Kluyveromyces lactis: one gene and its partner. The protein of the gene in region 2 binds, or shares a complex with, the protein of the main gene of each other region. Links are inferred from orthologs where the notes say so. Each region holds a gene or a part of one and is shown on either strand. Other genes may lie near its edges.

Region 1 (3,691 bases), on a different chromosome or scaffold from region 2:
TACTTATTAAATTATCCGTCAAATAACTCCGTTACTCCAATAAGAACTTGTCGAGAGGACAAATATGTGCTACCTAATTTTTATCAGACGAATCATAATCCATATTCAAATTCCTTGTGGAATACGTCGGAAGAAAACAGAGAAGCTTTGAAAAGAATAAAAGAAAGCGCTGCTAGCAAACGCACAAGGGAAGATGATTGTTCTGACGATTTGGAGAAACAATCAATTATATGGGAATCCGAACAGGAGCCTCAGAGCAAGAAGACCTATTCTCCATTAGATGTTGAAACGTTTAGTCAAAAAATGAACTTGGATTCAGCAAGACCTGACTCGAAGACTTTATCGTTCATCCAGACTCTTCAAAAGCTTTTAGAGTCTGAGCAACAATACTTCGAAATGTTGAGTCTATGTTTATCAACTTACAAGGAAGAAGCATGCCACAACAAGAAATTTAGGAACAAATTGTTGAATAGAGCTTCAAACGATGAGCTATTGTTGTTTGGGAATTTAGATACGATGGCAGAGTTAAGTAAATTATTCTGCAAAAATTTATCAGAATGCTTGAAAGTGACAGATGCTGGTACTCAGAGCAGGATTTGGAAGGAAATTAAAGGGAGTGACAAGTTATGTCAAATTATACTTGATACTGATTTCTCTACGTTGATAAAATCTCATTTACATAGAATCAAGTCCCCATATCATAGCTACTGCATCTGTCATGAGGAAAGGAAACGATTTCTAGACTCGATCAAATTGCAAAACACGGAAACGTTTTACAAGTGGTACGAGTTATGCTTAAAAAAATCACAATTTGAGAAGTTAGAAGACCTCTTGGAGTTGCCATTGGAGAGGCTAGGCCAATGGGGGTCATTGTTCGAGAACTTATGTTTATTTGGTGACAATTTGCTATCACCAGAACGGTCTGTTCAGATGAATGCGATATCAAAAGAATACATTAGTTATCTAAGGGATCTAAACGATGAACTAAATAATTCCGGACGTGCAAAGGAAAGCATTTTAGGAGAAGAAAATGCGGTGACTCAAGAAAAGGAGAATGACAACATTTCTTCAAAATCTGGATCCCGTGGAGGTTCACAAATTTCCAAATCATCTAGTTTTTATTCAGATATCCCATCATTTACAAGAGTAGAAGAAGAAGTACCACAAGGAGAACCAACAGGCGCGGTCCTCCACAATTCACATTTGAATAGCATCGAAGAAAAAGAAGAATCAAAGTTCAACTCATCGAATTCACTGAAGGACTGCATCAAAGAGTTCAACAACATATATGCCAACCTCCAAAAATGGGATAAAGCTCTGTGCAAGTTGGAATTAGCTAAAGTTTTGGATAGAACTCTGACTATCGCAATCACATGGAAAAATCTAATAGAGTTCGAACCGCCTAATGAAATGTTTCACTCTGGTGATAATGAAAGAACAATATATGGAACATATGTCGAGAAAATCGATAAACAACGTCAACAAGTGATGATCTTACAACTCCAAGATCTCCGCAGGAAAGTTATTAAACCTTTGCAACACCTACTACAACGATTTGCTACCGTGAAGCAAAAGCTGGCAGACAGAAATTCACTGAAGAAAGAGTACATGGCATATCTGCGACAACGCGACACTGAAACCCACGACGCCAAAAAACAAATCCTCGCAAATAGCTTCCAAGATTTACAACATCAACTAGCGGAGTCTTTGCCCATATTCAACGAGTATGCCAGAGAAGCAATCACACTACTCGTGTCTCAGTACACCTTACTGATGATGGAGTACATGCAAATCATATCTGGCGGAGATCAGTTCCTCAACAAAGAATTGGAACTAGTCAATTCGGGACAGCGAGACCTGGGGGATAATTTTGACATTCTCCAGCTGTTCTGCTCTTCTAGGTACTATACGAGGCATGCAATAAGAGAGAACTGGACCTACCACGGTGATCCAAGAGCCAGTAAAGTTGTGAGAAGGTTATTTGAGTTGTGAAATAGATATACATGTTACCCGCACTTTTATTTCTTTTCTGCAATTTTTCACTTAAGAAAAATGCCAAAAAGCTTTACAACTGAGAGATGCCCGATGAGATGAGGTAAAGAAGCGAGAGGTTTGTCTGCTCTACTGTTTGGATACTTCTATATACATTATCTGATTTAAGTCGCCTTGTGTATAAAAGTTCCCTGTTTGATATTACACTCAGCTACTTCAGTTTACGACACACGGAGTATAGAAACCACAAGAATGTCTACAACAAAGTACAGCGAACGCCCAGTAACGGTTGAAAAGGCTATTCCAGTCACATACGATTTGGGTAACCTAGCAGTGTTTGACACAAACGTGTTGGATAGGAACGATTTTGATTCATCCAATGCTGCTCGTGAAAGTAACATAAAAGATTTGACCCGTGATAACGTGCAGTTGTTGATCAACCAGATTCTTTCTCTTCCTATCAGAGCTACCACAGAATCTGCAGGTGGATCCAGTGGACAATCCTCATCTATGACTTTAGTACAGTTACCAGAGCCAACAACAGAGCTACCAAGAGAAAAACCACTACCTAAGCCTAAGGCACCAACTAAATGGGAACAATTTGCTGCCAAGAAGGGTATCAAGCCAAAGGAAAGATCCGGGAAGATGATTTACGACGAGGCAGCTGGTGAATGGGTTCCAAAATGGGGTTACAAAGGTTCCAACAAAGAACTTGACGACCAATGGTTGGTCGAGGTGGACGACAAGGTCCAGGGTACCGAAGACGAGTTGATTGACCCAAGAACTTTGAACAGAGCCGAAAGAAAGAGATTGATAAAGAAGAACCAGTTGCAACAGAAAAGAAACTTGAAGAACCAAGTGAAATAAACGTTACATACTATATAACTGCATTACACACCTTACACTAGGTTACATAAACTGTATAATAGACCAACTTACTCTTTCTCGTATTGACCATTTCACTGCCGTTATCAGGTTCAAAGCCCTCCTACAGCCGGTATTTTTGCGTATACAAAATTTCAACATTATACTTTAAACAAAGTCAGAGCCTCAAAGAATGAGAGAATGAATGGGAATATTATTTGCACAGGGTGCCGGCAGATCACCAGGATCGGAAATGAGTGATCTCAAGAGATATGTTCCTATGATAGATGTACGTTTCCCCCTTTCTTTTTTATCAAGCGAATCGTTTTCGAGCAAGATACTAACTACTTCAAACTATCACATTGATGTGAATATCCATACCAGGCCATCTTAAGCGTGTCAAACCCAGAGGAAGTAAGTGCCAAGAGAATACGGAAAGCGTTACAGGAGTTATTTTCGGTAGATTTGAATTCTCACAAGCATGATTTGAAAGAACTGATCATATCACGGTTCAATCGATTACAAGATTTACAAAGTAAAACCCTAAAACATGAAGAACTGGTGGATTTGGATTCAAAGCTTGCAGTGAAGCTGCATGACGACGAAGTTGCCATGTTAAAACGCCATCGGAGTGGGAAAAAAGAGAAGAAACCTAAAAAGAAGAAGAAGCGGAAGGTGGCTAACGATAATCCGAACAGCATACACTTGAAGAAAGTAGGATTGAGTCCCGAATTACAAGAATTCTTAAAAGTGGAAGAGATGCCCAGAACACAAGTCGTTAAATCTGTTTGGGACTACATTAAGGAGCATGACCTTCAGAACCCGGAGGACCGAA
Region 2 (4,960 bases):
TGGCATTGTCCATTCCTTCTCCGTCCGTACCGTTGCCATCGCCGTTTTCCACTAGTTGATCTAGCAATTGGGAAAGAATATCGTCTGAGTTCTGATTTTTCTTCTCTTCCTCCAAACTTTCATCCACTTTCGTAGAATTTTCTTTCAATCTATCTAGGGTGTTGGAAATGATATTCTTGAAACCAGTACCGCTCTTCAATTGCTCCTGAACGTGTTTTACACTGTTATGGTCTTTCTCCTTCGATGCATCTCCAAGTACAGTTAGCAATGTCTCGAAATTCTGAACCATTTCTTGGTCAGTATCACCGCCTTCCTGCTGCATCAATTGTTGGAACTGTTTCTGCAAATCTTCCATCATCTCGACTACTTCTGGATCATCGCTCTGCGTAGCAGGCTCACCCTTAGTAACTGCCTCATTTGGAACAGTTTCTTGTTTTTCCTGTTCATCCAGTTTGCGTGGATCCTCTAAATAGTCATCCAAATCATCAAATTCGTCAACTTTGTTGTCTGACATCGTTTGTCGAAGTATCTGATTACTATCCGTTGAAATTTTGGTGGTGCGTAGCCCTTACTATTAATTATACCTCAGTTAAGGTTTCTTTAGTCACTGTCAATTCTGAAAAATATCACTTTTTCTTCAAAACACTATTGATGCTTTTTCTACAATATCAAAATCATCTTCAAAATCACAAACAAAAAGACGTATCGCACGGAATATCATATCCTCCAATTATTCAACAACGGTAAATCTGAGTTAAGGCTCTATTTACAACAGGGCGCAACGTACCTTAATATATTTACGGTATCTGTATATTAAAGCGACTCGACGATCAGAACGGCCGAATAATATAAACAGTCATGAGTAGTCTTTGTCTACAGAGGTTACAAGAGGAGAGAAAGAAGTGGAGAAAAGATCATCCTTATGGGTTCTTTGCCAAACCAACTAAAAAGACAGATGGATCTATGAACTTGCAGAAATGGGAGGCTGGTATCCCTGGAAGAGACGGCACTCTCTGGAAAAATGGTCTTTATCCTTTGACCATTGAATATCCTGATGACTATCCGTCAAAACCTCCTAAAGTGAAATTTCCAGCAGGATTTTATCACCCTAATGTTTATCCCAGTGGAACCATTTGCTTATCAATCTTGAACGAAGATCAGGACTGGAGACCTGCTATCACCTTGAAACAACTCTTACTTGGTGTACAGGATCTTTTGGATTCTCCGAACCCTAACTCACCTGCGCAAGAGCCAGCTTGGAGAGCTTTCTCGAAAAACATTAAGGAATATGAGAGGAAAGTCTCAGAACAAGCTCTTAGGTATACCAAGTGATACCTCCATAATACAACTTCGGAAGTAAACCATTTACTGACAGAGAAAATGCAAATACGCAGATGACGGCAGATATCAACTTGCGGGAAACCCTGGGCCTTCCCCAGCGTAAAGCGCAAATCAAATAAATTTGCTGTATTCTATGGCTCGATTTATTCTACGGTGTTGACCATTGTTATATGGCTGTATAGAGATATATCATAGGATGGAACGATCCAGTAGGTGTATAGTTCTCGTGTAAAATTTAAAATTAATATCAAGAATAATGCTAATGAATACTTGATTTATTCAATTATTTTGTATTTTACTATTATCAGGTGTAGACTGTATATATTTATTGTTTTATTTGTTACGTTCATTTTGTTTGTATGCAATAAAACTATCCAATGTAGAAAAGCAATCCTGACATCTTTCTTTCAGTTGAGGATCTTTGTTCTTGTCAACAAACTTGAAAACATTCTTCAAATTTAATGAAACCTGTGTTTGAAGTATCGAAAGATAGTTCAAGTTTACAAATACTGGTTCATCGTAATCAAAGTTCATGTCTGAGTATATTTCAAAGAATGTGTTCATAAAATCTACTACTACTGGTGCTTTTGTTTCCTTGCTTGAAAGTGTATTGATAAAAAAGTCACCTATGGCTTTGTTTAGTTCAATTTGGTTTTGGAAACCAGCTAGAGTACCTAGTACACCGCAACAACGTTGTTGCAACTCCACACCTTCTTCAGGATTCAAACTTTTTCCCTCGTTGAAGACGTTAATTATGGAATCAATGAACTGTTGATTGTTTATTTGAACTACTCGGAAGAAATCACCAGAACCAGAGGTGCCAAAAACGGCTTGAACATTCTTCAACAATGCCCAGGTTACACTTAGTTTCCCGATTTTAATACCGAAATCCTTATCTTCAGAACCATTCTGCATAGCTGACCAGAGGTGCTCCCAGTAATTGCCCAACTCAAAAAAGCTAATCCCGACAGATAGGTAAAGCCATAGAAGATTGTTCCATCCAATCAATACTCTTGAAGTGAAATCAGTGTATAATGCAGAAAATACAGAAGGAACATTTTGAGTAAGGACAGGTAATAATGAACCATTAAGAGGTTTATGGCTTTCTTCGTATTTAGCACCGATCAATTCAATAGCTGCAGCGATCACATCAAGACTGATTTCTATACTTTGAAATTTGATCATGGCTTCGGTCCTTTTCTTAGTGTAGTCTTTAATCTTTTTTGTTATTTCTTCATTACTTTCTTTCATCAATTCAGAATCCTCGGTCTTGTTCGATAAAGTCGATTTTACCTCAGCTAAATTAATGTGTTCTACGGATTGTAGTACCTTGGTTATTATTGATGCTGCGATGTCATAACTTATGTCTGTATCCATGAATTGTAAGTAGATACCTTGTATTAGTACCTTAGTTAACTCGTTATCGTTGGCAAACTCCCAATTAATTATATTCTCGACAAATGGCGAGAGAAATTCATGTGCAGAAACTTTATCGATGAATTCAGAAGAATCACTAGATATGTCATAAATAAGGTCCAAGACAGTGTTGAATAACTGTGTAGTTGTTTTCAAAGTCACGGTATTATCAGAAATTACCATACCGTAACTCAAAATATTAGTCATAACAGCGAACACTTTATCCAATTTATCTGTCTTGACGACGTCATCAAGTATAGCATCCGATCCGTTTACTAATGCCACTAATAATGATAAGATATTTTCAGCAAAATCGTATAACAGCCTTTTAGATTCCTTTTTAGCTTTAGACTCATCAGATTTCATTGATTGTAGTGACTGTTGAACTTGCGACAAACCGGACTCAATATTCACCCAAATATTCAATCTCCAAATATGCGTTGCTAAATCATAGCCCTCTTCTAGTGCTAGATTTCTTAAAACACCGTAAGATTCTACCACGATATCAGTATTGGAATCCGTCAATAGTTTGGATGTAACAACATTAACCAATTTTTCCTTTAGGAAAAGAGATCTCATATGAGGATCTTCACATAAGACCATAATCGTGCCTAAAGCTATAGATCTATCGTTTGGAATCACGCTGGATAACTGTTCTATCAATGGTTGAATTCTCTTAGTTCTAATTTGATCATCTTTAGCAGCATTTCTCAACAATGGATTGGCACGAGCATTAGAAGCTCTAGATCTTCTTTTTGATTTACCCATTTTACTTCTCGGCTATTTGTAAGGATAGAAACTCCACCAACTACTCAATGAGTGCAGTTTCAGAATATTTGCACCTTGACAGACGTTTACTTCGTTTCAATGACTACAGTCCTTAATGCAAGTTCCTAAAGACCACTTTTGATGCGATGAGCTTTTGAAAAATTGTACTTCTCGCTTGGAAAAGAAATCAAATAAGCTTCGGAGGTACAAACAAGTCACGTGATAAATAGGTGTGGTTCATAATAATATATGTATATGCATAAGATGCGCTATCCGAATAAAATAGTAGTATATATTTACAAGAGGATGACGGGGAGGTATTCGACGTATCTATTGTCAACGGTGAACAGCCGTTCTCATTCCTGGTCCTTTTTCTTGGCTTGTTCTCTAGCAAGTTTTTGCTCCGCTAGTACCTGATCCAACTCTTCCCTTATTTGTAACATACTCTTTGGCAAAACAGGATTACCATCTTCATCATACTTTGGAATTTCGACATCGGTTCTCAAACCCCCATCCTTCTTCAACTGATCGATTACGATAGGTTCGAAAAACCGTGTACCGGTGTATACACCGATTGCGCAAATGACCGAAAATATCACCACATCCATACCTCTAATTCTGCCCACCATGTTCGTTACTTTCCTTACAGCTCACCTATTTACCTCCTTCCTCAATATATTATTTAATCACTCGCTCAAAAGAAAGGGGGTCTCGAAATAAATAATCAGCAGTTGCAAGTGTCACCAATTTGTCCTGTAACCTGGCTTAACTTTCAAGAAACTTGATGTCCTTTAAAAAATACAACTTAGTATTTTGATCGAAAAAGAAAGAGAAAAAGAAATATTGGCGAGTAAAAGACATAAATTCTTCCGTAGAAGTGAATCACCAGGTCAAGCTGGTGTGGGATAAACTAGTTCTCGGGGCATAGCGGATGCCTATCCAACCCAAAAACACCTACTTCTCTGTTTCTTGTTTCTAGTTACTTCTGCTTTGTCTGTCTTGAGCGTTTTCTATTTAAACCATATATAAATGAATCTTATGACACATTCCCAAATCATAACATCAGTCTACACCTACACTAACGAAATCTTTAGCTGTGGTTGTCTTTCACTTTTGTAGATCACACAGCAAACACGGTAACAAGCACATATATAGGAGGTTAGAGTACTATCAGACAAGAGATTAGTACTTTAGAAAAAATAGAGCGCAGACAAATACACATAGCATACCAAATACACAGGCGGACTGTGGTTCTAGTTTAAGTGTATTTTTCTGTTTTTCATTATATTGTTTCCACACGGCTGTAGGGAAATTGGCCAAATTCATCAATTTTCAAACTTTTCATATTGAACAGTTTCAGTTAAGTGAAAGAATATCCAGATTTTGGAAACATACAGATTTTAAAGGTTTTGATATTTTTTCTTCGGATTAAATC

What was found. Proteins that work in one complex are often made in the same cells at the same time.
Region 1: SYO1 (region 2) and RRS1 share a complex: the UniProt entries of both Saccharomyces cerevisiae proteins name them as parts of the hexameric 5S RNP precursor complex. The link is inferred for Kluyveromyces lactis from reciprocal best matches to the Saccharomyces cerevisiae genes SYO1 and RRS1.

Annotation. Positions count from the first base shown.
Region 1 is NC_006038.1:1,138,724-1,142,414, reverse strand, and holds RRS1 (ribosome biogenesis protein RRS1), read left to right. Parts: upstream 1-2,244; coding exon 2,245-2,859; downstream 2,860-3,691. Other genes in the region: FUS2 (Fus2p), read left to right, coding at 1-1,992; KLLA0_B13024g (SWIB/MDM2 domain-containing protein), read left to right, coding at 3,469-3,691. UniProt on the Saccharomyces cerevisiae protein: Required for ribosome biogenesis.
Region 2 is NC_006041.1:442,588-447,547, forward strand, and holds SYO1 (Syo1p), read right to left. Parts: upstream 3,526-4,960; coding exon 1,675-3,525; downstream 1-1,674. Other genes in the region: PEX19 (Pex19p), read right to left, coding at 1-514; E2 SUMO-conjugating protein UBC9, read left to right, coding at 859-1,332; ECM19 (Ecm19p), read right to left, coding at 3,882-4,154. UniProt on the Saccharomyces cerevisiae protein: Nuclear import adapter that specifically recruits the two functionally and topologically linked ribosomal proteins RPL5 and RPL11 (encoded by RPL11A and RPL11B).